Caenorhabditis elegans: one gene and its partners. The protein of the gene in region 1 purifies or fractionates together with the protein of each later gene. This does not show direct contact. Each region holds a gene or a part of one and is shown in the gene's direction. Other genes may lie near its edges.

Region 1 (8,011 bases):
TTCCTGTTCTCTGAGTTTTTTTTTCATAACTCACGCCTCCATGTCACCGCTGTTTTGGCGAACATTCTTTAAAATTCGATTACAAGTGATCATTCGTTTCTATAGATATTCACATCAAACTTTATAATCTAAAAGCGTTTTCTGAACCCGATCAATTACTCCACCTGCATATATAATTTCATGCTTACTCTTACTACTCCTTATTTTTAGAAAACATTTTCCTTATTTTGAGTTAAAGATAAAATGCACATTATCCAGGAATTTCTTGCCAAAATTCTCTCACTACTTGCTGAGCCAATTCCATTGGTGGAGGGCCAATGGCTCAATATCACATTTGATGTGCCAATTTTAGTGGATATAAATGCTCCATTGACGCCAACACTACAGTTTATTTATGCATCTGAAAGTATTTTGATTTGTGTTGGAATGTTTCTAATGGTTTATTTCAATTATTTTGTGAAAAGTTTCCAAATTGTACATTTGAATTTACAATATCTATTTTTGCTCTTCACGACTTTATATATTTTTGGAAGTCTGGCCAGATTCTACATGATTTTGGTTCAATTAAAGTTTGTCACAGGTTTGTAAAAAAACTTTCGTCTCATATGCTTTCTGGTAAGATTTAACTTGTTCTGAAAGAGGTTTACACTTATTTGACTGAAAAACGACAAGATAAACATTGGCAAATCACACATTTTCTGAAAAATCTGAAATTTCCAAAATTTATAATAGTTACATTTTAAAATGGAATTTTGAAAACACGACTCATATCATTGGTGTTAGCGATGTATGTTGAACATTCTTCAAGTCATGTTGTATGGAGCTGCCATAACATGTTCCAAATGAATGAGCTGGTGGAAGTTGGGTAACATTTTCACAAAATAATAAAATCAAAAGTTGAAAAAATATGTGTATACTTGTGGGGATTGTAAATGTGACTGAAATTGTAGATTTTTCAGATTTTCTTTGCACGCAAATTTAAAATTCAATCAGAAATTCAGTCGTTCCAGTAATTTTTAAATGGTAAAAATTGTCCAACGCCATATATGTTTTTTTTTCAAATTTTAAACTTATATGACTCGGTAGCTCAATATTTTTCAGATCTCGACACGCCGTATCTCCTCGTAGCGGGAATATTGAGAATGGAACATTATGGAGTTAGTTTAAGTGCAATTTTAGTAGTAACTATTGAACGAGCATTTGCAACTTATTATGTGGTCGATTATGAAACGAAGCACAGATGTTGGGTTGCTGCATTTTGTGCTTTGGTCAGCCTAACCTATACTCAATGTTTTGTGATTCCCATTTGTTTCTGTAAGTTTTATTCTCTTACAGTTTTTGTGCCTACGTGCCTGCCTGCGTCCTTGGAAAAACTTGGAAAAAAACACAAGAAAATTTGCAGAACACACAACTTTCCAAAAGGGGTTTTTTGGGATTTTCTATTTTCAAAAAAGCAGCAAAATAACCTAATTTTAAAAACAAAAAAGGGGTAGGTATAGGCACTGGCAGGCATATACTCTTTTCACAATTCACATTCTTAACATCAAAAATAGTTATTTTCAGTTGAAGCTTCTTTGTTGTATATTATTCTATTCGCATCACTATGGGCAGTTTTCTCAAACATTGTAAGAAGCACAATGCCCATTTTTCAAAATAATTTCTTCATTTTTTAGGTTTTAATGTGCCTTTACTATTATAATGTACAAGAATCCAAGAGATTATCATGGAAAGCTGAGAATCTTCGGAAAATGAAAAATGTAAATTATACATTGAGCAAGAAGTTTCAAGTTGAAGAAAATGTGAAAATTATTAAATATCTGCAAGTTATGAGCTCCATGTTGGTTTTTCTCATATTTTTTGTTATTATATTTATTGTAGTTCCTAGAGTATATCTGGGTTCAAAAACATATTCGGGTCAAGTTATGATTTCACTTTTTGATATTAATTTGGCACTTGGTGCAATTCTAATTCCTTCCGTTTGCGTTTTACATTTACGGAAAACTAGAGATATGCCATTTTCTGTAGGTTTTTATCAATTTTTCAGATTTTCATTATATATTTTCAGGGGAAAATCCATTGTTTGAATAAGAGACGCGATGACCGTCAGGTGAACCCGATTACTGTATTTGAAGACGTTACAAAATCATATTTCGATCAATTTCAAACATCTTGGCGATGATTCATATGATTTTTGGAAATATTACTTTGAAGTTTTGTTATAAAATGTTACATTAGAAACATTTGTGTTTTTTAAACATGTTTTATTCTTCAGTGATTCTTCCAGCACAAAACAAAAACAGCACAAAGTCCGTTGTTTTATTTTTAGTGAGAGCGTCACTTTGTTTTTATAAATAATTTAGATTCTTTTATTCATATAATTTTTGGGTAAAAAACTGTTTTTGGTTTTTTGAAAAATTTCATTAAAGTGAAACATTAACCACGGTAGAATTAAAGGCGCAGCATGAATAAGTTTTCGTGTGCTCCGCAACGATTTTAACTACCTTAACCTACAATCGGAATTCGTTTAAAAAACAAAAAGCGAGTCATTTTGTTTCAATAAAAAGTTGAGTTTTTCTTAAATACTTATCAATATTTTCTCCAAATTTCATTCGGTTACTATCAAAAAAAAGTTTTTTATTAATTACGGTCGGTTTAAAGGCACAGAAGGAAAAAAGTGTTTGTCAGTATCGCAGCGATTTTAATTACCGCATACCATTATTGAAATTTTGTTTGAAAAAAACAAATTACTCGAAATGCGCGCGCGGTATTCACCATTTGTATCGTTCTTTTTCCCGAAATTTCGTTGTTTTTGTGTTCGACACAATATATTCAATAGTTTGTAGCGATGAAAACCTTGATAAGCAATAGGGGGCGTCTCGAATTTTCGAAAGAGAGTATAAAGAAGATAAATTTTTTTTCGCTCATTGATTTCTTTTCATTTTTCTTTATCTTTTTTGATGAACAGCAGCAGTTGTTCCATTTCTACACGTATTTTGTTGCTCTCTATTTCTCTGAACTCTCTGTTTGTGTGGGTGCTCTCCTTTGGCGCCAACAACTGCAGCTGGCATTTCTTTTCTTTTTTCGCTGCGAAATCTGAACTATTCCTGCCCACCCACCAGAAGATAAATAAATTCTTCGTGTTCTTAACATGTCTGTCTACCTGGACTTTAAAAACCCCATTTAAAAGTTGCATTTGAGGTCAAAAGTTATCCCAGAAGAGTTCGAGCACATTTTAGGTCGGCCCATTTCTAAAGTTATTCATTTTTCTATGTTTACTATCACTGAACATTGACCAACCACTTGACTTTCGTGATAAGATACGAAGCGATCATTTTCTGTTTACTATTTTCTCTTTTCTCATAGTCAGTCCATTTTATTTTCTGATCTATAATATTTATTTTCAGCCTAAAATGGGAATCGCCGTCGTTGAAACCCCCACAAAACCATTCGCAGGACAGAAACCCGGAACATCTGGTCTTCGCAAACGGGTTCCGGAATTCCAGCAGCAGAATTACACGGAAAACTTTGTTCAAGCAATTTTGGATGCTGGTCTTGGATCGAAAAAGAAGGGTTCTCAGTTGGTTGTTGGTGGAGATGGACGGTTTCTTTCGATGGAAGCCACAAATGTGATTATTAAAATTGCAGCAGCCAATGGGGTAAGAAATATTGAGAAATTTTAGTAATTTTTTTATAAATTTGAGTTTTTCAGCTTTCCCGTCTTATCGTCGGTCAAAACGGTTTCTTGTCGACGCCAGCTCTCTCGAATCTTATCAGAAAAGGACACGAAGGTCGTGTTGTTGATGGAGGAATAATTCTCACTGCTAGTCACAATCCAGGAGGTCCAAAGGGAGATTTTGGAATCAAATTCAACTGCGAAAATGGTGGACCTGCTCCAGATCAAGTCACTGATGCCATTTATCAGATCACAACTAAAATCGATAAATACTTGATTGCCAAGGATTTAGAATGCGATTTTACACAAGTTGGAAGGTAAACACATCAATATTTTGATTACATTGATGTACATTAATTTTCAGATATGAATATGATATTGAGGGAGTTGGTCACTTTGTCGTTGACGTCATTGATTCAGTTACCGAATACATCAACCTCATGCAGAAAATCTTTGATTTCCCAAAAATCAAATCCCTTCTCGCTGGTGAACTTACTGGACGCAAACTCAGAGTTTTACTTGATTCGATGCACGGAGCAACTGGACCATACATCTCTACAATTCTTGTCGATCATCTTGGAGCTGATCCTTCTGATCTTTTGAGAACTGTTCCAAAGCCAGATTTCGGTGGAGGTCATCCAGATCCAAATCTCACCTACGCAAAAACTCTTGTTGAACGCCTCCACACCGGAGAACACGATTTAGGAGCTGCATTTGATGGAGATGGTGATCGTAATATGATTCTTGGAAAGAATGGCTTCTTCGTTTGCCCCAGTGATTCTTTAGCTGTTATTGCTGATAACATTGATTATATTCCATATTTCAAGACTCGTAAGGTTGCTGGTTTTGCTCGTTCAATGCCAACTGCTGGAGCTGTTGATTTGGTTGCCAAGGCAAAGGGACTTCAAGTGTATGAGACACCGACCGGTTGGAAGTACTTTGGAAATCTTATGGATGCTGGAAGAATTGCTATTTGTGGAGAAGAATCATTCGGAACTGGATCTGATCACATTCGTGAGAAGGATGGCGTTTGGGCACTTCTTGCATGGCTTCAAATTCTCGCAGACCGAAAAGAATCCGTCGAGGAAATTGTGACGAAGCATTGGCAGAAATATGGAAGAAATGTGTTCACTCGTTACGACTATGAGAATGTGGATGCAGCTGGTGCCAACTTGTTGATGACTTTCCTTGAAGCTCAATTGCCAGCATTTGTTGGAAGAGATTTCTCGGCAAATGGGGTTACATATAAGGTGAGAGAAAGTTCGAAAAGATTTATTTTTTCTAAAAAATACTATTTCCAGGTTGCTGTCGCTGACAATTTCCAATATACTGATCCAGTGGATGGTTCAGTTGCAACCAAACAAGGACTCCGAATTGTCTTCGAAGATGGATCTCGATTGGTATTCCGACTCTCTGGAACAGGATCTGCCGGTGCTACCATCCGTCTCTACGTTGATTCGTACATTCCTTCAAATGACACTTCTCGCCTTCTACTTCCAGCTCACGAATTGCTCAAACCATTGGTGTTGATTGCACTTGATACTTGCAAAATGGAGCAGTTCACTAATCGCAAGGCTCCAACTGTTATCACATAATTTTAGTATTTAAAAATGATTTATATATTGCATGAGTTTAGCTAAATAATTATGTGTAGATTTTCCTCGGTTTATATAATTTTATGTTGCACGTAAACGAAAAGTTGAATGAAAATTTGAAAACTTATGAGAATATTGTGAAATACATCAATGTTGGTTTTTGGAAAAAAAAGTTGATGTTTGTGGTTTTCTGATGTCGATTTAGTGAGAAATGAGAAACGCAGACACTGAGAGCGAAGGGTTCAAAAGCGCCAGATTGTGACGAATTCTTCATTTTATTCTGAAAAATGGTTTCCTATAAACTAATTTATTTTCAATCTCGTGGAAATGGAGAAATCGCTCGTCAAGTTTTCGCTTTTGCCGGCCAAGAATTTATTGATGAGCGTATTTCTAAAGAGCAGTGGGCAGAAATTAAAAATAGTAAGTTCAAAAGTTGCATTTTAGAATGAAATCCTCAGTTTAAAAAGTTGATTAATTACAATGTAGCGAAATGCTTCAGTTTTTAAGTGGTATCCCGCCACGAACAAAATATCCTCACATAAAGATTAAGGTGTGCCTTTAAGCAGTACAGTAACCCATTTTACAATTTTATTCGATTTTTCCACATTATTAAATAAATTCAATTCGATTTTCTACTGAAAAAAATCGAAAATATAACAATTCAAATATATATTTATTATTGGGGATTTTGGCAGATACTGCAGAAATTTAAAAAACTTTGCAATGCAAAAAAAAAATCAAAAATTCCAGGCTTCTTTTGGAATCATTTTGGCAGAACCTGCAGAAATATTAAAGTTCGGTTTTTTTAAAGAGATGATCGAAGAAACATTGTAGTGTCGAGCCAGCTGATCTAGAGGAAAATGCTCAAACGAGGAGTGGAAAGGAAGCTCTTTTTTCGAGCATGACAATATTATCTCGTTTGAAAATCTCTGAAAATATGTTCAAGTAAAAAAAAACAAAAAACGAGCTATCAATGAAAGTTTATTGAAGTTTTGGAAAGTTCACAAATCCTATGGGTTGTACTCGATTGGGAGGTTCTTACGACGAACCATACCGTCTCCTTGGAACCATTCCCGACGGAATTGCTTAGCAGCACCATCCGGAGTGTTGGTCCACTCAACAGTGATACGATCGTTGTTAGTGTCCTCCTGTCCAAAGGCGAAGGCATCGCAGGAAACTGCCAGAAAAACAGCTTCCTTTGGGTCCAGAACTCCACATGGTGGATCAACTCCAAGTCTCTTCATATTGGTGGTCTTGATACCGTATCCAATACGGCGAGCAGATGAGTTGATCACCTTGATGTGGTAGGTGTGCTTGTCGTCGTACGGGGCATTGAACACGATCTTCGTACCCGGCTGGGTCTGGATATCTCCTGGTGGGACGGATTGGGCCATGGCGACTTCTTTGTAGAGTGAGAAAACTCACAGTGAAGATTATGACAAAACCTTCTCTATTTATGCAAATCCTTATCACTGTCCTAGATCTTTACGTCACATAATGTTCGAAAAGTTGAATGAACTTTTGAAAATTCGTGAAACTTTTATTCAAATCTTCAAAAGAATATCGAAAAATAGGAGATCACTTGAAAATTTTTTTTTATTCAACAATTTCAAAAATTATCAAAAATCATTCTTTAAACGAACAAAAAATCCTGTGCTCAGAAACATAAATATTTCTTATCTTAATATAATTTTCAGTGACCCCATTTGGACAAGTTCCAGTTCTAGAAGTTGATGGAAGACAACTGGCACAATCGATTACAATTGTTCGGTATCTATCAAAACAATTTGGAATTTCTGGAAAATCATCATGGGAAGAAGCTCAAGTTGATGCTCTCGGTGACCAATTCAAGGATTATCGTGTTGAAGCACGGCCATTCTTTAGGGCCAAAATGGGATTTTCCGATGGAGATGTAGATCAACTTTACAAAGATTTATTCGTTCCGGCTTTCAATAAAATGTACTCAATTTTCACTGAATCTTTGAAATCCAGTGGAAGTGGTTTCCTTGTTGGAGATTCTTTAACTTGGATGGATTTGGCCATTGCTCAACATTCAGCTGATCTCTTGGAAGCAGATGGAAAAATTCTTGATACATTCTTGGAGATGAAAGATCATCAGAAGAAAATTCATAGTATTCCAAATGTTAAAAAATGGATTGAAAAAAGACCAGTTACATCTAGATAAATTATAGAACTATTTATTTTAGTGTTCATTTTTATCTACCTCGTAAAATATACCAAGCTATCAAACAATAAATAAACCATTATATAATAGCAACATCTTTGATTTGAAACTACACGGTCTGAAAAGTTATTTCATTGATTTATGTACAATTAAAACGGATAGGAAATCAATAGGTAATCGTGCCTAAATCATGCCTATTTCTGTGGTCTCATTTTTGAGCAGTAGGCACATAACTCTTGGGAAACGATGAGAGATCTGATCTGACTATATAGTGGGAACTTCTCTCTTCTAACCTTGTGAGTGGGTTACTATAGTCAACATCAAAATTTCAGAGATTCAGAGACACAAAGATTGACTGAAGTAGAAAAATTTCTGAGGAACTCTAAGATTGACAACCATTACTGTCAGAACAGAGTATATATCATAACAATCTCTAATAGCAACAAAACTAAAAACATTTTGTTAAAACGAAATATTAATAAATACAACGTTTAGATCTAGGACAGAGATAAGAGCGAAATTTGCTATAAATTGAGCAGGTTTTACCATAATCTTCAC
Region 2 (6,374 bases), on another chromosome or scaffold:
AAAGAATACGATAAAACCAATTAAAATTCAATTCAGTTGCAAAAACTTACAAAACTCAAACCATTGAGGAATATTCATTACAATTACAGCAGCTGCTCCAAAACCAAGACGGCTACGTGCATCATCGACAACTGGATCACCAGTCAGAACTGCCATGTTTGTTCCGGCTGCTGGTTTTGGTTTGCACATTAATCCAACACACAAGCACTGGAAAACATTTTTGATTTTCTATATTTAAATTTCATTTGAAGGTGGAATTGTTGAATTACTGTCAATAGATATGTGTAGGGGTGTAGAAGTAAAGTGCAAAACAATTACACTGAAAACGATCTTTAAATAGGATCACACCACTTGTTGGCTTCGGTTAAATTTTCTACTATTCTTTGGATTTTTTCACACTTTGTTTAATACCTCACTAATGTATAACTGGGCACTGATGTCCACCTTTAGAGATCAAAAATAGATTACCACTAGAAGCTCGGCAATGATTCCCACTGTGCACAAAAGGTAGGTAAAAAACAGTGCAGAAGCAGGAAGTGGGTTCCATTGGGATGCGATGAAATGATATGAACCAGAGAGTATAGCAGCAAAGAAGAGCACAGCAAAGTAAGATGTCCTGGAAAATATCGGAGGCATCAACTATTCATTTAACAAAAAATGTTATTCAAGATTTTTGCTGTGTCATTCTAACCATTTTCTTACCATGAATCACAAGGATTAAAGTTTTGTCTTTTCCTTGCAATTACAATCAACGCCGAGAGAAAAATCACAGATCCAATGGATGTAGTGAGGACTGCTGTAGTGTAAAACCAGTTGAAGAACATCAGAAAAACCATGTACCACCATCCATAAGCTCCAAGCATGATACTGTAGATAGCCAGTGCAATCTTGAACAGAGATGACAGTCCAAGTGGAATGTAGACAATAGTCAGAAAGACCTTCGTGATATCACGCTTCATTTTCAAAGAAAGCAGAAAGAAAACTGCGATGATTGAAACTTCAATTGCGGAGAGTCCAGCTCCAATTGGTCCTCCGTAAAATGCTTTCTTTGTGTAGAGTTCATCAGGAAAATCACAGCTTATCTTCACTTTTTTCTTCACAGTTGTTGAATTACAAAAAAGAGTGGTAAGTAAAGGAAGACCCGGGACTGGGTCCATGTCCGTCGACATGGTTACACGATCTTTATATCACTTCAATAGTTGGGATTTTATTGAAGCTGAGATTGAGAATAAGAAATGTGGCGAGTTGAGTGGCTAGATTGAACAGGTGAAATGCCATGTTGCTATGGTTACTCGTCACGAAGTTTCAGCTGTTCTTGGACGCAGATCTTGTGATATTGAAATTGGTTGTTGATGTAAAAAAAATTAAGACGGAGACACTAACGAAGCTAGCCAAAACAAACTTTTTACGGAAGGTTGAGCTTAATGTTAAGTGGGACATATACGTTTGATGGTACCTGAAACTACCAGGAAAGTATGATATTTTGCAAGTCTTTGAACTTTTGGGATCATTTTTGCTCTTGAACTCATCCTCTAATATATATCATAAGCAGCAAAAACAAAGTACTCGATTTTGCTGCTTATGATATACTATTTTTTGAAACGAGCGTTTTAAAGAAAATTGTGTACATTGTTTCGGTGCTCAATAGTTTCATTGTTACATACTTTGCAAAATGAAAGGGTTTTCCCTGTCGATCTCGAAATAGAAACCATTATGACGATCATCAATACACAATTGGACGCAGATTGTTAGAGGAATGGCATTGATAACAAAAATAGTCACAATATAAAAGTTGATCGTGTTGGGTAGAATGGGGTAGATACTACACATTTTCTGATATTCATATCATCTGACGAAACAATGCCCGCCAATTACGATTTCACTGACAAACGTATACTTGTCACAGGAGCAAGTCAAGGTAAGTCTTGAGATGTTGAAAAAGTTAAGATGGGTTGTTTCAATACAAACCAAATACACTTGTTTTGGGTTCCATTTAACAAATATGAAATTGAGATAGCTCACTACAGGAAATAGACTTGATATTTAGACAGAAAGTTATGTTGAGATAAGTTTTTGTACCACTCGGAGTTGGTGCCAACTTATTGCCCAACTTTTGACCTATAGTTGAAAACTTCACGGAAAACGTCAAATCTCTTTTCCGACGATTGTTCTATGTTTTGAGTTTAGATATGTTTGCAAGGTTTGAATTGAAGTTGACCAGGTTTTCCCTGGTCTAGTATAAGTTTATTTGTAGTTTGAAGTAAGGAAATGTTAAAAATTATCTGCTCAATTAAAAAAAACCATTAAACATTTGGAGCCACTGAATCAGTTTTCTGAAATCTCATGAAGATTTGTACTTTTTAAGTTTTCAAAATGTTTAATCCATATTAATTTAACATTTCAAATTTAGGCCAATGTGATAAAAGACCGATGGTCTCTCTGATTACTTCCGGTGTAATTATGATCTAGTTCAAATGGAGAGGAAAACGTTGATATACGATAATATGATAACACTATAATCTTTAATCAAAAATTTGTTGTATCATCAACATTTTATCATTCCGTTTGAAAATTATAATTATTTTACGATTATGTTTGAGGAAATTTCTGGCATTGAAAACAAGAGTACATCCTTCCTAGTCGGTAAAAAATATATTACGCGAACAAAGCTAAAAATAGAATAAAAATCGTTCATGAAGACTTCCGATGGGGTGATTGTGAATCATACATCACAATTTATCACATTTGCAGGAATTGGAAAAGAAATCTGCCTTTCGTTGGCCAAAGCTGGAGCGCAGGTTATTGCATTCGCGAGAAATGAAGCAAATTTGTTGAGTCTTGTCAAAGAGACTACTTCTTTGGTAAGTGAAAATATAAAATATTACACCAATCTGATTAAATTAATATTTCAGAGATATACAATAATTCCAATTGTTGGAGATGTGAGTGCCAATGAAGAGGTCCTTTTCAAACTTATCGTACCACATTTCCCAATTCATGGTCTTGTAAATAATGCTGGAATTGCAACAAATCATGCAATTGGACAAATTACTCAACAATCAATTGATAGAACATTTGCAGTCAACGTAAGGGGACCTATTCTCATTGCACAATTAGTTGCTAGAAACTTTGTGGATAGACAAATCAAAGGATCAATTGTTAATATTTCATCACAAGCAGCCATTCGTCCATTGGATAATCACACTGTTTATTGTTAGTTTAAAACTTTACTGAAATAATGTACATCTGAAAGTTCAGGTGCATCAAAAGCTGCTCTTGATATGGTCACAAGATGTCTTGCAAATGAATTGGGATCCCAGAATATTCGAGTTAATAGTGTCAATCCAACTGTTGTGATGACTGATATGGGAAGAGATGTAATAATTTTCAAATTGAAAAGAGAGCATAATTAGACTTTTTAGAACTGGAGTGATCCTGATAAGAAGAAGAAGATGCTCGACAGAATGCCGATCAAACGTTTTGCTGAGGTTGACGAAGTTGTGAATGCTGTCCTTTTCCTTCTTTCAGACAATGCTTCAATGACTACTGGATCCACTTTGCCTGTCGATGGAGGATTTTCGAATAACTAAAGTTTTTAATTTTAAGATTGAGACGATGTATATAGGTGAACAATAAATACATTTATTTACAAGAAGCTCGTAATTTAACATACATAGAAAAAAGATAAATAATATTTACTATTGTTTTGAATCTTTTCTGAACAACTTTTCAAATAATCCCTTTTTCTTCGGTGAGCTCGAGTTGCTCGGTGTTGACGCCTTGTTTGATTCCGAAGTTTGAGGAGGCAGATCTTCTGAATTTTCGGCTTCGTGAAGAATCTTTTTGAAAGTCTCTTCGTCTAAGGACTTCTCGTCTTCATCTTCATCTTCATCTACAGATAATTTTTCGTTTCTTCGATCCCAAAATCCACCAATTTCTTTCGTGATCTTATCATTCCATTGAATAGCGTCAAGAGACTTCTGACGAGCTGAAATTGTAGCAAAATTAAGAAATTAAGCTGGCAGTAAAAAGGTTTGTAAAAGACTGTGTTGAAGAAATATTCAAATTTTCGTTTTAAACTTACTAGATTTCATGAGAGTTCTGAGTTCAGCGGCATCATGTTCTTCTTGCTTCTTGGTTTCAGCTACACGTTGTTCTGCGTCTTGAAGAATACTGGAATACTATTGAATATGCGTAAAACTTTAAAAGTCTACAGCAGGGTTAGTACTTTTTTGGGGTTTGTTTATTTTTGTAATATTTCGACGAAAATTTGTTTTTTTTTTTGGTTTTTGTGACAAAACACCAAAAAACTAATTTTCTATATTTTAAACACTTTTCATATTTTACAAATGTTCTTTAGCAAACTGTGGTTTTCAGTTTTTGTAAAAAGTTCCAATTTTCGAATCCAAAAAAAATTTTGTTTGATTTTTTTTGGTTCGAATTTTTCGGTCCCAGTTCTACAGCTTGCTGACTGAATTTTATTGAAAAGTATTGTAATTCTCAAAAAAAACTGTATTTCAGTTTAATTTCAAATAAAAAATTCACCAACTCACTTATTAATCTCATTCATTTCTTCTTTCGTTGCTTCACTAAACTCTGTGTTTGCAGAAACCATTGATTCTCGTATTGAAGCATCATCTTCTCTATTTTTTTCTTTTTCATCTTCAAATATTTTCCTACGTCTTGCTTCAAGCTCATCCCAGTCTTTATGTTCCATTTCCTCTTCTTTTTTTTCAATTCTTGCACGATCTTCAGCTACTCGCATTAATTCAGATGGATTATTGGCGTTCATCGCAGGTTCCTTGGAAGAAGACTTTAGCCACTGAAATGTTAAAAATGGTATTTAGGCGTAAAAAATCAACTTCTGAGGTGGACGGCAATTATTTTCGGAAACTCTACAAAACGACCTACTGGCCAATGTTTTTCTAAAATCTTACAATAAAAATTAGTGTCAAAATATAGAAAACTATTTTGTTTGAAAGAAAATAACATGTATTTCAGTTGAAACGCTTGAGAAAATTCACGAAAACGGTCTGAAAGTTGTTAATTGCCGAAAACAGAGCTCTTTAATTTGATTATCTGCAATTTGTAACTTTAAGGTCATTTTAAACACTTTTTTTTAAATTTTCAACTGAAAAAATTATATTTTCAGATGAATCAAGTAATTTTCTATATTTAAGACACATTTTTAATTAAAAACATCCTTGTCCAACTTACACTTTGAGGATTACGTATCACTTCTACATCACATTCTCGAAGTTTTGCTAATCGTTCTTCAATTTCTGATATACTGAGTGGTTCAATTTGTGGTGAAATATCTTCTCGCAGTTTAAGTCTTCGCTGTTCCAGGTCATTGGTCGGATAATTTGGCTGAAAACTGAAAAATAAATTAAGAAAATTCCGTGACGCTAATTACCTTGGTCTGCTGCGATGGAATTTCTGGCGAATTCCTGAATTTAGTTGCTTTGACTTCACTATTTTTAATCTGATTTTGATTTGTGTGCGAATTCCTGAATGATGGCGGTGGAAGTCCATCACCCCACCAATTTTTATTCGATTTATTCGAATTATCTGGTAGAGGCGTTGATGTTATCTGAAAAAAATCGTGGGATTAATATCTATTTAGTTTTTACTTTGTTCTTTTTCTTACAGTCGCGCTGGGCTTCATTTTGGCAGATTCCAATTTTTGATAGCAATTGTTACAGACAATCATTGGTAAATCCGAAAGTGTGGGAATAATTGCACGATGAGGCAGACATTTCTTACAGAAGGAGAGAGCACAATTCGAGCAGCCGGCCTGAAAAAATAGAAATTAATTAGTTTTTGATGCCAGAAAATAACTTCTCTGTTTAATAATGAATATTTAGTTCTGCAGTTTGTGCAACAAATTGAGGAAGGCATTCTAGAGAAGAATTTCGGCATTTCGCAATGATACAAAATGAAGAGAATAAGGAAATGACGGTGAAATAACCGGTTTGAAGGTAAAAATGATAAAGTAGACAATTGAATTTTTCTAGTTCATTCTCCAACAATAAATTCACAACAAAACAAATCTGCCTAGATAAAAAACTAAAAGATATATCAAGAATACATCTAGAATCCTTTGCTGTAGAAGAATTGCTCAATAAGAACACGTGGAGCTCCTTTAATTTTGATACGACCTTTCAACTCATCGACGTGACTGGCGATCGAATGTCCAAGATGTTCTTCAAGATAGGAGCGGAGATCATTTTCGCAAGCCTGAAAGATATTTATGTTGATTCAGGATTTAATAATGTTCCCAACTTACAAAAATGTCTCCGTCGACGTTTCTGATAGTTACTAGCTCGACATAATCAAAATCCAACGTTTTCTCATTCAGTAAATCCCTTTTT
Region 3 (7,869 bases), on another chromosome or scaffold:
TCCATGCAAATGCGCTCTACTGATAATTTGAGTGTAGACCAGGTTTGGGCGCGTGATAACGAAAAAAGCTTTGGTCCAAAAAATGTAGAATTTAATATCGGGCATTTTTTATATGCATCACAAAAAAACTGGACAACTGTTTTTGAGATACACGCGCCCAAACGTCCAGGTATACGGTAGACAAATTGCGTACAGGTACCACTTCTCGGGCCGTGTTCTTAAAGCCGCACAGATTTATTCATATGGGTCTCGGCGCGCCGTTGTTTTAAGCGAATTTTTCGCTACATACTCGCAAGCAATTTGATTGCAAAATGGAAAATAAATGAGGTTATCATGCGCTCCGAGACCCTTCTGAATAAACCCGTGCGCCTTTAATTAGACGTGTATATCAATAGAACCTGGAAATAAGTAATATTTCTAGACTCGTAACACATTCCTGGGCGGCGGATCAACTTCATCAGCAAACCAGAGCCTATTCGTCGATCCAGCAGCATCGTCATCATCAACTTCGTCGACCACATCCAACTTCAATTTGCTCGGAACATTCTCGTTCGACATCAATTGCCCTGGAAAACATTTGTACAACATGTCACATACTGTATATCCGCTCGAAGGTATTACACAGATGAAAGTACGCAAACAGGCGATCGATGGAGCTGATATCACTTATCACGGATTCTTGTCAATGTATCAGAGAACTGGCGAGGGGCTCGGATCGTGGACGAGATACTGGTGTGCTCTTGAGAATGGAGAGATGAAGTTTTGGAAGCAGCCAGAAGATGAGGGAACTAAGGTTTTTAAATTTTTATTTTTTTTGTCTAAAATTAAACTTTTTTTATTGTAGGGTTACACTGCACTAATGGATCTTTCAACGTGTTGCCGTTCCGAAGGTGCATCGGTAGTTGAAGACATTTGCCCATTCCCGAATAGCTTCCACATTGATGTTTGGGCTCCAAAAATGGATACATCGGATCCACGTGGCATTGAGCGTCTTCGAGTTATGCTGGCGGCCGATACAGCTCAAGATCTTCAAACATGGCTGTCACTGATCAATTCTACGTCGAAGCAGTTGTGCACGTGGAGAAATCCGATTGTTAATCAGTAGTCCCCCCCTTTTTTGCAAGCTTTGTGCCTGTATGTATCCCCCAGTTTTTCCCCTCAGATTTTTTTTGACAAATAATCAAATGTTTTATTATTATTCTCGTTACTTCTCTCTCTCTCTCCATGTTTAGCTTCCTTCTTTTCTAGAATTTACTCCCTTCTTTTTTAATCAATACATCACTGTCCCATTATCATTATTCCACTCTTTTTGGGCCTTTTTCGATTTATTCGAAAATTTTAGTTTCACAGTGCCCCTCACCATCGTACACTCTTACAATTAATTTTCGGTTTTTTTTTTGTTAAAATAAACATTTGGTGAAAGTGTGAGAAAACAGTGGTTCCGAATAGAATGAAGAAGACGGAAAGAAAAGGAAATATTCAAGTTAAAAATAACTTTAAATCGAACTAGATATGCCATGTAATTACAGATAAAAAGTTCAACTTTTTTTGCGAAAAATGTTAAACTGTGCTCAATTTTTTGCTCCTTTCAACTGATAAGCTTTCACATGTGCGCCGCCCAGCGGAATTTATATAAAATTCGGGTTTCTTATCAGTTTTCCTATTTCTTTAGGAATCGATGCATTTTCTAGTCTATTTTTCGATATTCTTCACGATTTTAGGCGCTCAGCTTGTGGAGTCAAGCAAGTGCTCCGATTGTATTGCTTCGGGGAAACAGTGAGTGTTTAAAATCGAAATGCAAATGCGCTCCACCGCCAAAAGTTGGGTCTCGTTAGGTCTTTGGAGACAAAACCGGGAATTTCAATTTTTAAGTGGTATTCGAATGATTCAATAGATTCAAATACCTACCGAGACCCAAGTTTTGCCCGTGGAGCGCGCTTGAACCTCAATTTTAAATAATTCTTTTTTTTTTGCCCACCATAATAGCATAAAACATAAGCGGAAAAGTGAGGCAAATTTGTAAGAAGGTGTAGGCACAAAATGGCTTGCCCGGCATGTAACAATTTTTTCGAATTTCAGCTGGTGTGTAACAGTTAACGAATGCGGATTCTCCCCATGTTTAACATCAATTTCTGTAAGTTATCTTATCAATCACAATTTCACGTGGTGCCAGAAAGCCCCATTTTGATTTGATCTCCGAAAAGTGCGGGAGAAGAGACGCAGAGTTTTCAACTGATTTCGCATTGTTAAGAACGTGCTGACGTCACATTTTTTTGGGCGAAAAACCCCGCATTTTTTGTATAACAAATCGTAATGGGACAAGTTATCTTATCAATCACGATTTGATAAACTGATTTTTTGTAAACTCTACAAATATAAACGTTTCCAGAAAGCACTAAACTGCCCGGAACTACCTGATAAAGCACACGCGTATGATGATACATTTGTGAGAACAAAAATTTTATTGACAACTGCTGCCGCATTCAATAATAATCCACAGAAATGTTTCAAGTGAGAAAAATTTTGACACGGGGTTCTGGCCTTACTCATTGAATTTTTCGCGCTCCGTTGACAATCACCAGCCGAACTCCATATGGACCAATAGATTCAGTTTTACAACTAGAAACGCGACGCGACGCGACACGCAACGCGCCGTAAATCTACCCCAGATATGGCCGAGCCTAGTTCGGCAAACTCTTCCATTTCAATTTATGAGGGAAGCCAGAAATCCGTGTTTTGAAAAAATAACATTTTTTTAAACACTACCAACGGCGTTTTTTTTCCAGAAACTCAATGCCAACAATGACACTATCCAAAACTTTTAGTGTAAATTGCTCAGAAGTTGGGCCACAAACCGATTGTTTCGGTTTCACATCATTCGATACAACACAAAAAGTCGTTGTCATGTCGTTTCGGGGAACTCAAGGAGCCACACAGTTGACTGAAGAGATTTTGGACTTTTTTACGTGAGATTGAATTTATTACGGGAACACGGAATTCTGCGTATTGCACAACATATTTGACGCGCAAAATATCTCGTAGCGAAAAGAAAACTACAGTAATCCTTTAAATGACTACTGTAGCGCTTGTTTCGATTTACAGCGAAGTGCCATTCTCATTCGTTTCTTCGTATTATTTTCTCACTTTTTGCCTAATTTTAATATTCAATCGATAAATAAATGATTTTAATTCTTTTGTGCCCGTAAATCGACACATGCGCTACAGTACTCATTTAAAGGATTACTGTAGTTTTCGGTACGAGATATTTTGCGCGTCAAATATGTTGTGCAATACGCATTTTCAGAATTTGTCGAAAAATTTTAAAATTTCGAGTAAAAATGGTTAAATCCAGCTGTTTTTAAGATTTTTGCGCCAAAACCCAATACACGGTCTCGACGCGACAATTTTTTGTAAAATGCTAAAATGTGTGCGCCTTTAAAAAGTACCGTAGTTCAAAATTTCAAAATTTTTATCGATTTTTCGTAGATTTTCGTCCGTTTCTTTGAAATTTTCTGAGTTTTATAGAAAAAAAATATGAAAAATCGGTTTTTTCATAAATTTTTTCATATTAAAATTTTTCAAACATTTTTCATACAAAAAAAAATTCTGTAAAAAAAACCAAAAAAAAATCTTAAAATCAATAAAAAAAACCAATCAGCGATTTGCTCCGCCCACATTCGGACCAATCAGAGCAAGTGGGCAGAGTTCAAAGATGCTGATTGGTCGGGGAATTTAGAATTTAGCTAAAATTTTAAAAAATCGTGTTTTTCCCTTTGTGAATTTGTTGAAGTTTTGCAGGGGTAAAAAGCCATTTTTCAATGATGCCGGACACATTTTCACCTACTTCTACGATGCATTCTTTTTCCTCTGGAATGGAGGTCTTCAACAAGAAATTCGTCGACTAAAATACCAATATCCAGAGTATGAATTATGGGTTACTGGGCACTCACTTGGTGGAGCAATTGCATCGATTGCAGCTTCTTATGTTGTCCATTCAGGACTTTATACTGGTGATCAAGTGAAACTTGTTACGATGGGACAACCGCGAACCGGCGATTATGATTATGCTGTTTGGCATGATAAGACTTTTCCGTATTCATTCCGAATTGTTCATCATAGGGATATTGTTCCACACATTCCTCCGCAATATGGAAAGGATGAGCTTTTCCATCACAGAACAGAAGTTTGGTTAGTTTTTTTTCTTCAAATTCACGAAGTTCCGGCCTTCCTCACTGCATTTTTCGCGCTCCATTGACAAGCTGGACAACGCGTGGGAAAGTCGTGTACTCCACACGGACAAATACATTTAGTTTTACAAGCCGCCACGCGACACGCAACGCGCCGTAAATCTACCCAAGGTATGGCCAATCCGAAATGGCCTAGTTCGACAAACTCTTCCATTACAATTTATGAGGGAAGCCAGAAAAATTGGTTATTTTTGCACCATAGGAGTAGTTTTTAACATGTTTCTACTGGTGCTACTCCTTATTCACAGATCTCGAAACGACCGATTTTTTTTAATATGCAAAATTATGTGCGCCTTTAAGGAGTACTGTAGCTCCAATTTCCCTGTTGTTTTAACATGTGGAAACGCAAAATTTGAGTTTGAAGTGCAATTGCGCTCCAACGCCGATTTAAAGCGCCCAGCTCCCATAATTTGGGTCTCGTTAGATATTGCCGTATTTTCAAACTCTTCAAGAATTTTTTTTGTTGATTTTGATGCTTTCTATGTCGAAATTGAGTTTTAAAAAACAATTTAAATTAAAAAATAAAAAGATAATATCGAAAAAGCCATAAATTTTTTTAAAAAGTACCAAAAATTCATTTAAAAAAAGCCAAATTTAAGGCTATTTTTGGTGAAATCGAAGAAAAAAAAAAAGAAAAAAAAGGTCGTGTTGAGACCCAATACCGTAAGACAAACATTGCAAAATTTATATTTTCAGGTACAACAACAACATGTCAAGCACAGACCCATATCTTATTTGTGCGGAAGCAGATGGCCTCTACTGTAGTAATCGACAATTGGACTCTTATCCACCGGATCACTTAACCTATTTTGATATTAATATGCCTGATTGGGGATCACAGGGTTGCCCGAAAATGTAATTATGAACTGAATGAAATGTATTTATAAATTAGTTTTTATTGGGTTTCCTGTTCAATTTATCAGTTTTTCGTATAGGCAAATTGCCGGAATTGAAATTTTCCGGCAAATCGGCAAATTGCCGGAATTGAATTTTCTTGAACTTTCTAAATTAATGAAAATTTCCGGCAAGTCGGCAAATTGTCGGAATTGAAATTTCCGGCAAATTGGCAAATTGCAGGAATTGAAAAATGCGGAGAATTGGCGAACTGCTGAAATTGAAAAGTCCGGCAAATTGGAAAATTGCCGGAATTGAAATTTTTCGGCAAATTGGCAAATTGCCGGAATTGAAATTTTTCGGCAAATTGGCGAACTGCTGAAATTGAAAAGTCCGGCAAATTGGAAAATTGCCGGAATTAAAACTTTCGGCAAATCGGAAAATTGCCGGAATTAAAACTTTCGGCAAATCGAAAAATTACCGGCATTGAAATTTTTCGGCAAATTGGCGAACTGCTGAAATTGAAAAGTCCGGCAAATTGGAAAATTGCCGGAATTAAAACTTTCGGCAAATCGGAAAATTGCCGGAATTAAAACTTTCGGCAAATCGAAAAATTACCGGCATTGAAATTTCCGGCAAATCGGCAAATTGCCGGAATTGAAAAGTCCGGTAAATCGGAAATTTGCCGGAATTAAAACTTTCGGCAAATTGGCGAACTGCTGAAATTGAAAAGTCCGGCAAATTGGAAAATTGCCGGAATTGAAATTTTCCGGCAAATCGGCAAATTGCCGGAATTTGAATTTCCGGCAAATCGGCAAATTGCCGGAATTGAAATTTCCGGCAAATTGGCAAATTGCAGGAATTGAAATATGCGGAGAATTGGCAAATTGCCGGATTTGAAATTTCCGGTAAATTGGTAAATTGCCGGACATGAATTTTCTTGAACTTTCTAAATTAATGGAAATTTCCGGCAAATCGGCAAATTGCCGGACTTGAATTTTGTTCAACTTTCTAAATTAATTTAAATTTTCGGCAAGTCGGCAAATCGCCGGAATTGAAAATTTCCGGCAAATCGGCAAATTGCCGGAATTGAAATTTCCGGCAAATTGGCAAATTGCAGGAATTGAAATATGCGGAGAATTGGCAAATTGCCGGATTTGAAATTTCCGGTAAATTGGTAAATTGCCGGACATGAATTTTTTTGAACTTTCTAAATTAATGGAAATTTCCGGCAAATCGGCAAATTGCCGGACTTGAATTTTGTTCAACTTTCTAAATTAATTTAAATTTTCGGCAAGTCGGCAAATCGCCGGAATTGAAATTTTCCGGCAAATCGGCAAATTGCCGGAATTGAAATTTCCGGCAAATTGGCAAATTGTCAGAATTGAAATTTCCGGCAAATTGGTAAATTGTCAGAAATTAAATTTCAGAAAGTTGAAACTTCTAGCTGAAAATCAAATCAGTGTAAATGCGCCCTGCCGAACACAAAGCATAACCTGGTTGAGCCCCGAATTCGTACATGAACCACTTCTCATTACAATTCTTTCCCATGTTTTTTTATTGACGGAAAAACGAATATTCAAATTTGAGAGAATTCGAGTTCTAATCCTTCATTCACAAATCACAGGTTCAAGTCAAAAGATCATTCCAGAGATTTCTTGATCTGGAACCAATCGTCGTCGAACTCGATGGAAAATGTAGCGTTGTCGGTTTCAATGTCGATCTTGCCAAATGAATCGATTGGAGACTCCATCGGACATAGCACTTGCAGCAACTCTTTCGAACTGTAGTGAACTCGCTTGAACTTGTAGACTTTGAAACGGCTCGATTTCACGATAACTTCCTGAAAACTTGAATAGGTCAATTGAAAACTCTAAAGAAACTTACATCGCGAAATTTCATCATATCTCCCTTCGATAAATTGTGTCCAAAAAAGTCGACTTTCATTGCCTTGAGATGCTTGAGATGCTTGACGAAGAACTGGAATTGTTTGGCGTGACAGGTCAAATGAAGTTTGTCCACTGATTTCCATTGATCGAGCGCCACCAGAGGTTGGATGGAAGCTGCATCGGCCACATCAGCTCTGATTCGCAACTTTTTCAAAACTCCAGCCTCAAAATGTTGGAGGATTTGGGCTGTCTTCTCGGAAGTTGCTCCTTCGATAATCACATATTTGGCTGGAACACTTCCAATTTGATGAAGGAGAGAGATGAGAGGATCGTATAAATCCATGTCTTCTTCCCAGGTGGTCACCATAAAACTATCCAGGCTCAACTCTCGACCATGCATAAACGTTGATAAATCCTTCATAGCAACCTCCAGTGGTGTTTTGTTCGGTAGAATGATTTCTCGATCTTCGTACTTCAAACGGCATCCGGCTTGAAAAGATTCGTCGATCCACTCTCGATAATTCACCCAGGCTTCGTTTATAATCAATTCCACAAATCCTTTACTCAACACCACGGCACAGTCCGTCATATTGGAGCACTGCGCGTCAATGATCGACTTGAAAGTTTGAGACACTCCACAGGCACTTAGTCTGAAAAAAATACTGTGTGCTCACAAAAAAATAGAAAGTATCACGGCACGGATTCACTTAAATTTAAAAGTTATTTCTAAAATTGGACGTTCCCACCTGCCTATCCTCACCATGCCTACGTGCCTACCTAGTGTCAACCTAGACATCTGCTAGATTTTCTGATAAATATTGACAACTAAAATTCACAATTTGCAAATTTCCGCACCGTGAAAATGCTATCAAATGCTATCAAATCTTACCTATCAATTG

What was found. The genes of interacting proteins can lie anywhere in the genome.
Region 2: the proteins of pgm-1 (region 1) and dhs-21 fractionate together in Caenorhabditis elegans (co-fractionation; one large-scale study listed by BioGRID). This does not show direct contact.
Region 3: the proteins of pgm-1 (region 1) and Y49E10.18 fractionate together in Caenorhabditis elegans (co-fractionation; one large-scale study listed by BioGRID). This does not show direct contact.

Annotation. Positions count from the first base shown.
Region 1 is NC_003280.10:4,886,033-4,894,043, forward strand, and holds pgm-1 (phosphoglucomutase (alpha-D-glucose-1,6-bisphosphate-dependent)), read left to right. Parts: upstream 1-3,404; 5' UTR 3,405-3,410; coding exon 3,411-3,656; intron 3,657-3,709; coding exon 3,710-3,990; intron 3,991-4,037; coding exon 4,038-4,923; intron 4,924-4,974; coding exon 4,975-5,268; 3' UTR 5,269-5,395; downstream 5,396-8,011. Other genes in the region: R05F9.7 (Serpentine Receptor, class E (Epsilon)), read left to right, coding at 244-580, 1,102-1,314, 1,564-1,625, 1,674-2,021, 2,066-2,179; gst-9 (putative glutathione S-transferase 9), read left to right, coding at 5,556-5,688, 6,966-7,453; msp-33 (Major sperm protein 33), read right to left, coding at 6,279-6,662.
Region 2 is NC_003283.11:12,729,048-12,735,421, reverse strand, and holds dhs-21 (L-xylulose reductase), read left to right. Parts: upstream 1-1,776; 5' UTR 1,777-1,860; coding exon 1,861-1,918; intron 1,919-2,751; coding exon 2,752-2,861; intron 2,862-2,912; coding exon 2,913-3,213; intron 3,214-3,258; coding exon 3,259-3,377; intron 3,378-3,422; coding exon 3,423-3,590; 3' UTR 3,591-3,655; downstream 3,656-6,374. Other genes in the region: xbx-9 (XK-related protein), read right to left, coding at 51-207, 469-616, 703-1,169; zfyv-19 (FYVE-type domain-containing protein), read right to left, coding at 3,699-3,988, 4,085-4,173, 4,554-4,822, 5,218-5,370, 5,417-5,593, 5,651-5,797, 5,842-5,901; mrpl-49 (Large ribosomal subunit protein mL49), read right to left, coding at 6,094-6,240, 6,290-6,374. UniProt on the Caenorhabditis elegans protein: Catalyzes the NADPH-dependent reduction of L-xylulose, D-xylulose, L-(+) erythrulose, D-erythrose, D-threose, L-ribulose, 1,4-dibromo-2,3-butanedione and 2,3-heptanedione.
Region 3 is NC_003281.10:12,439,911-12,447,779, reverse strand, and holds Y49E10.18 (Fungal lipase-type domain-containing protein), read left to right. Parts: upstream 1-1,673; 5' UTR 1,674-1,678; coding exon 1,679-1,776; intron 1,777-2,079; coding exon 2,080-2,134; intron 2,135-2,389; coding exon 2,390-2,511; intron 2,512-2,786; coding exon 2,787-2,966; intron 2,967-3,798; coding exon 3,799-4,188; intron 4,189-4,943; coding exon 4,944-5,106; 3' UTR 5,107-5,150; downstream 5,151-7,869. Other genes in the region: ani-1 (Anillin-like protein 1), read left to right, coding at 422-793, 845-1,105.